2 linked regions of the Schizosaccharomyces pombe genome follow. The gene in region 1 interacts genetically with each later gene. Each region holds a gene or a part of one and is shown in the gene's direction. Other genes may lie near its edges.

What was found.
Region 2: of psf1 (region 1) and psf3, extra expression of one rescues a mutant of the other (dosage rescue), as found in Schizosaccharomyces pombe (one study listed by BioGRID).

What each region holds. Positions count from the first base shown.
Region 1 is NC_003423.3:2,013,263-2,016,796, forward strand, and holds psf1 (GINS complex subunit Psf1), read left to right. Parts: upstream 1-2,099; 5' UTR 2,100-2,237; coding exon 2,238-2,846; 3' UTR 2,847-3,034; downstream 3,035-3,534. Other genes in the region: alp5 (Ino80, NuA4 and Swr1 complex actin-like protein Arp4), read left to right, coding at 1-1,101; serine/threonine protein kinase Ppk32, read left to right, coding at 3,133-3,157, 3,308-3,534. UniProt on the Schizosaccharomyces pombe protein: The GINS complex plays an essential role in the initiation of DNA replication.
Region 2 is NC_003424.3:527,124-530,809, reverse strand, and holds psf3 (GINS complex subunit Psf3), read left to right. Parts: upstream 1-1,933; 5' UTR 1,934-2,038; coding exon 2,039-2,137; intron 2,138-2,184; coding exon 2,185-2,243; intron 2,244-2,268; exon of another isoform or gene 2,269-2,349; coding exon 2,350-2,484; exon of another isoform or gene 2,485-2,540; coding exon 2,541-2,686; exon of another isoform or gene 2,687-2,745; coding exon 2,746-2,807; 3' UTR 2,808-3,028; downstream 3,029-3,686. Other genes in the region: saccharopine dehydrogenase Lys3, read right to left, coding at 1-288; SPOM_SPAC227.17C (uncharacterized protein), read left to right, coding at 644-1,009. UniProt on the Schizosaccharomyces pombe protein: The GINS complex plays an essential role in the initiation of DNA replication.

The sequences.
Region 1 (3,534 bases):
GCAATTCGTAATGGTTGGGTTGAAAATTGGGATGTTACTGTAGATCTCTGGCGTTATGGATTAGAGCAGCAGTTGAAGACTAATCCTTTAGAGCATCCAATCTTGATTACGGAACCATTTGATAATCCCCCAGAAAATCGAGTGAAAACACTAGAAACGATGTTTGAATCTTTGCGTTGTCCTGCAACATACCTCGCCAAGCAGGAGACGTGTGCGGCGTTTGCAAGCGGGAAAGGTACTGCTTGTTTAGTAGACATTGGTGCGGAGCGTAGCTCGGTGTCTGCTATATATGATGGTTTTGTGCTTCAAAAAGGCTATCAGGTTCAACATTTTTCTGGGAATGCAATTAACGATATTTTGGCGCAAACTCTCAGGGATAAGAATTTCGAAGTGATGCCTAAGTACTTAGTGAAAAGCAAAAATCCAGTGGAGATAGGGCAGCCAGCTAATTGTGAGTTACGTCCTCGTGATACTACAGATTCTTATCATCAATTTCAGGTCCAGCGAGTCTACGATGAATGGAAAGAAGAATGTGCTCTCATTTCCGATGTTCCATTTTCATCTGAAACCACGATTGCTGAATCAGAGTTCGAATTTCCAGACGGTTCCCGTATGATGTTTGGCGCGGAACGCTATCAAATTCCTGAACATTTGTTTGTGCCAGGAAGTGATGAAGAAATGAACGAGGAACCTTCGAAGCCAATAGAACAAACCGAAAATAATGAGGTATCACAACAAGATTCTTCGGTTACCAACACTTCTTCTCGCATTTTGGGGATACCTCAGTTGTTCCAGAACTGTATTTCGGAATGCGATGTTGATATCCGTGCTTCTTTGCTCAACAATGTTATTGTTTGTGGAGGCACTAGTTTGATGCAAGGATTCTCTCTTCGTCTGCAAAATGAACTTTCAAAATTATATCCTGGCAGCCGTCTTAAAATCCATGCTTCCGGTCATGTTGTTGAACGCAGTTATGCTTCATGGTTAGGTGGATCTATTTTAAGTAGTCTTGGAACGTTTCATCAATTATGGATATCACGTCAAGAATATGAAGAACATGGTTCTGATCGTTTGGCTTTAATCGAAAAACGATGTAAATAATACGTGTAATGATAATTACTAATCTCTAATGAACCTTTAATTAAAAGTCGTTGGATTTTAGGGAATTTTCCTTAAGTGGAAAAAAAGGGGAAACTTTCGTTTGAAATAAAAAATAATTGAGATATTATTACTTTACGTATGAGACTCTTTCCCTGTCCTTATACCTATCATTTGAAGAGAAAATATTGGATCATGTATTTTGCTATCATCAATAAGCATCAAAAGTTTTGTTTTTGTAACAGATTGTTACTCTGGACTGGTTCGTTGGCTCTTTGTGATATTCATGCTATTGAATTTGTGTAATCTTCCGCAGATTATACATAAAGCGGATTTTTTTGAGTACGGCCAATACATCGATTGGATTTTATGTTGTAAGCAGAAAAGAAAGTCTTACTGACAAAATCATTTTAAGCTACATTAAAGCTCAATTATTTGAAGCTAAATATGCCTTGCCATTTTTTGGATATGAGTGATAGGTTTTAAATTGTACCCCTTTAGATTCTAATTTCTCATCAATGTGATTGTTTTATTCCCTTAAAGCCCTGTCCGATGAAGCAAGCACATCGTACTGTGTTCTGAATATTACGTGAGAATTGTAATCATTGAATGATATCCTTTCTTTTATTTTGAAATGAAACTTTATCTGGTTTCTATAATTTTAGTAGCAATGATTTGTAAGTTGATAATTTGAAGCTTCGTTAAATCATCTCTTCATTCCATGTGTGACGATGTGAGGAACTCGGTTTAATGATACCTTTAGGGCTCATTCAATCCTTTGAATTAGTATACATTACTTTATGAAACTGAGGTAATCCAAGTAAGTATACGCTTCATTTTAAATCTGTGTGAATGTTTAAATAATAAATTCTTAAAAATTCGCATAGTAGGTTCAACTAATAATTTTGTTATAAAAGATCCATGTTTTATTTACAGTAAAATTTCTACTAAGGAATGCATCATTATGGTCTTATGAAAGACATGTCATTTTCCAACGACTTGTCATCCACAACCATTCAATATAGCTTTAAACAACTATCGAGTGTCGTTGTTAATTATACTAATCCGTTTCTTTTAAACTAAACATAATTAGGAAAATCTGTTTAAGCATATCGTGATAGTTAGTGCTTCTAATCACTATGGAGAATGGTTTGGGGAATCGATCAAATAAATTAATTCGGGACTCAAAGCGAACTCAGTATTTAGATTATCTCCCACCTTACCAAGCGGACACCGTTAATGATGTTGTCAACGAAATTCGTGCAGCAGATCGCGAAAGTCTAGGAATTCTTCAAAATGTTACACATGAGGCTAGTCAACCTTTCCAGCCCCAGGACCATCCTTCTGAAGCGGCAGCTCTATTGATGTTTCATTCTTCTAGTATCTACAATAAGCGATGTTTAATGGCTTACCATAATTTAAGGCTGCAGCGGCTTCGTCAATACTGTTGGAGCGGAGGCAAACGAATGGAATCTTGTTTAGATACATCTCTAAGTACTTATGAGCGTGACTATTTAACGAGATATTCAGAACTTTTGGCTGCTTATAAAGGCGCTTGGTCCGAGCTGGATTTGACTGGTTCTTTGGTTCCTCCTAAAAATTTGTTCATAGACGTCCGAGTTTTGAAGGACGTTGGAGATATTGAAACTGAATATGGTACTATTAACCTTACTAAAAATTCACAATTGCATGTGCGTGCTACAGACGTTGAACGACTCATTGCCCAAGGTTTTTTGGCTAAGTTATGATTATCAAACTAAAAAATACGACTTTCTTATAATCTTTAATTAATTGTCTTTTTATTTAATCCTCTGTTTCCCAAATAAGAGTTTCACTGCTTTTTGAACTGACCCTAAAAATTTCATCCATAAGCCATTCATTCCTACCATCTCCACTGTATACTACCGCGAAAAAAAGGTGTTCAATTTTTATACTTGGTTTGCTTCGAAGGGATTCAAAAATAATTATAATTTTTTCTTTTTGTTTTTGTTGTTTTAAGTTGTTTTTTTCCAAAGCCATCCACTTTTTCAGCTTATGTTAGCCAATGCACTTCGACTAGGTATGCTATATTCCTTGATAAACTCGATTATCAGCGCTGTATGAAAGATTGTAGTTATGTTTATGTAATTGATCATCCTCATCGTCATTTCTATAATCTATTTAGATACATTTCGTATCCCAAGTAAGTATTCTAACGTTGAATGTTTAGTATCAAATTCCAAAAAAATTAAATATGATTATGATATCCAGAAAGAAAATTCAGTCCAAGTAGGTCCTTGGACTGTTTATTCGGCATCCAAAAAGGGAACCAACGAAGAGGTTTCAGTGTTTACATTTGATAAAAAGAATTTGTCCACCTTACTAAAACGCGGGTCTATTGACTCCAATTTGAAAACAAACTATGTCTTAGAGCTTTTAAGAAAAGATGTGTCTTCT
Region 2 (3,686 bases), on another chromosome or scaffold:
ATGAGCAAATTGAATATGAGTATGCTTCAAAGGACTGTTATCATTTTCCGGAAGCTCTTTGAGACCAATAATGTACGCGTCCTTAGGTGCATGTCGCCATGAGCCCTCAGGAACCATGGGGAAACCAAGGCGCTCAAATTCTTTGTCCTTGAAAGCACGTTGGGAAGAGCGCTCAATGGTAATTTGAAATCCAGCATCGGCGAGTATCTTGGCAGTTCTAGGAGTCAAAGCACTGCGCTCTTCTAAAGGTTTGGTTTCAGCACGTAACCAAAGATGAGGAGCAACCATTTTGGAACAGAAAATTAATTAAATATATATTTTTAAATCGAAAAAGTATTTCAACGTTTTTAAAAACTTCCCTTTCTAAGTTAGTCAAAAAAATTTAAACTAACAAAATGAAGACGTGGCGAAGGAGACCAAAAACTTAATCAAATAAGTTTATATACTGCAAATTGGCAAAATAATATAGATCAATCTCGATATAAATGAGATCAAATTTGATGCGGTCAATTTACAGATCAGCAATGATATGAGCAGAAGGGATCTTGATGGATCTAATACGCTACACAGGTTCAGTGGCAGTCACGTTAGCTACCTATCCTAGGCACAATTCACTTGATTTTTACTAGTATGCTTTTAAATAATGAATAATTTTAAAGAAAATGATGAAAAAAGCACTTTTGGTCAGTATGCGGAACTAGATAAAATACTCGACTTGAAAAAAGGGATTCCTGAGGATCCGTGTAGTTTACAGTATTACTTTGACCAAATGGCCATGTGTTTAACAGTGTTCTCACAAATGAATCATTACTATCGTTATGGTGAATACAACAGATGTAAGGGAAATTTTAAAGACTTTAAATGGTGTCTGTCAACCAAGTCGAAGGCTCACGAAGAGGCTCAAGAAGGGCTTCGTAAGCGGCGTCTTCAGCAGTGGATGAAGTTTAGGCAAGGGCCGAATAGTGAAGACATTTGGAAGATGCGTACTTCTCCAAAAAGTAGTGAATAAGTTTTTAACGTTTCGTGCTGTGTTCACCAAACGTCGATATCAATTCTTACGAAGGCATCCATTTGTTGCGTATAACATTGGGGGAATAGCATATTTGATGATGTCTTGGATGTAAAGTTCCTGTATATCCTAGTCTGCTTAACCTTTGAAACTAATTGTTTATAGTTGGCGGGGTACTTCTATTTAATTTACCTTCCAAGTAAACTCTGAGTTCTCTTTAATTTTATGAGTAACTAATTAAACGAACAACAAATTGTTGCTTTGATTTTACAACATTGTTTGGCAGCAGGTTGATTATTTACTCAGGTAAAGATTGCTGATAAACTCGAAGGTGTTGACATCTAAAGTATGGATTAAAGCGTATATGACTTGATGAACCTGTTGATGAAACTTGGCGAATAACTTATGAAATTTGGCCTATGTCGGTGTTAAAACCTTTTTGCATTTGGAAATGACATACTAAATAATTAATACGCAAAATAATTTTGAATACAATGCAATCATGTTTTGTAGATTACGGACTAAAAATCATTTAAAAAAATCAGTTTTACGGAAAGATTGTGTAAATTTTGATCGCATAATGAGCAAGTTTCATAAATAGGTATAACATTCAAACAAGCATATGCGTTTCTTTAATGAAACTATAGAACAAAGTTTCCTTTTTTTAATAAAATTTTTCGACCAATTTCAGAAGGACGAATATACACATGTATGACATACTTTTCGAGTTAAACATTGAAGCAAATTTTTAGTACTCGAACATACAATATTTATCAGCACTAATTTTTTGAACTAGATGCTCTGTTAAGAAAAGTAAAAATAAATCTTTTTTATCTCTATTTTTTTTGTTGATTAGTACTGGTGTAATTACAGTTCATTATTTATCCACTATATCTTAGCCAACTCAAATTTGAATTTATCGTTGCATCTACCTACTTTTACCTTGTAACTGCAACTTTTCTAAATGAACATATTTTGATAAAATAACAATAACACTTCTATCATTCCTTCTGCTCAGACATTAAAAAAATGGATTACTATGATATTGATAGTATCTTGTCTGAAAATCAAAAGGTTCCATGTACTAGTACAGTTTCCATTCCAGGACTAGGCCATGAAGGGCGTATGGTTAGTGAAGTTTATAAAAATAGAACTTGACTTTCTAAACAGTTTAGGTTCCTACGGGCTCTAAAGTTGAACTTCCTTTTTGGCTGGCAGAGGTTTTAGCAATTAAGTAAGTAAAGTTTTTTTTTTTTTTTGGTTTTTTCTGCATGTTACATTATATACATGTAATGTCTTATAGAAAATTGGATAATTTTGCTTATTTGCTTACTTTATAGTTCTTTTGTTAGTATTCATATGCCAGCACCATTTTCTTCTGTAGTACGAAATGCATTAAAGGCGAATCCTAATAGTGTATCTATTCGGGACATAACCACACATTATTACCATTTTGCCGAGAAAATGCTCCATTTGTAAGTCAAACTTTACACGTTTTTCTCAAATTCAAAATCTTACTAACTCATTGTAGAATATCAGACGACAGCTTGGTTCAAATTTCCCTAAACACTTTACGTTCCAGAGCAATGCTGATTGCAGATGCGTCCCTGAATCCTCAAGGTGCTTTACAACAAAACTCACAATTCATTGAGGGTTTGGATGACTTTGAGAAACACAGTATGTTCATTCTAGCCTTTAAAAGATTCAGTAGCTAACAAAAGCTCGTGCTGCCACAGTATTGAGAGTATCACATAATGCCCATCGATCCCTAATAAACTGGCAAAATTCCACTTCGTAGTTGATTGCATGCTGCGAGACGAAATTGCTACCCAGAATAGCACGCTAATCTATATGTGAAACACTAAATGAGTGTTGATCGTAAATCCCTTCTGTTCAAAGAAAAAAGAAAAGAATCCTTAACATATACTTGTTCAATATTACGTTTACTTACAAAATTAGCTTTTGTTTGTCAGATTGACATTTTCATTTATGATTAACTTTATAAAAACTCTAGAAGATTCAAACTATAGAACTAAAAAATGTTAATAAACGAACCGACACTAAAAATTAGAGGTCGATATATAAAGTACATTCAGAAAAAGCGCCTTGTCACAGGCAATCTTCGTCAATGTAGAAACTACGTAGACCGTCGTGATTAAAGTAAAAACATCATGTGAACTAAAATTCGACCTCAAGCTGATCTACTTACCTATACAAAACAGCCTCCTTAACTTCAGTGTATCTAACTAGTTTAAGGTCTTGCAAATACGTTAGAAAAGTTGTTTTAACACGAAAACTTAGGACATGGAAATATATAACTTTAGGTTGTCTATAATCAGACGCATTTCACTTCTTCAAAACCAATGGCATCAGACATATGCTTGTCTTTGAAATTTAATAAATCATCCTAATAATACCCTAAAGTACATATTTGAAGTCTAGTTTTCAATTAAGTTTTGGATACCTTTCATGAATAACCTATAATTATGTTAGTAAAATATTGGCATAGATTTAGGTTAAAAATTTGTTCTCTCAGTTAGCATGAATGGAATTTTAAGAGTCTTTTCTTCATATTGAATCAGACTCGTCATCTAATTATTCCTCATTGAGAACAATTTTTCTCATATCACATACAAACTAAAAGGTATGTATTAAATCCATGATTAAATGATTTAAA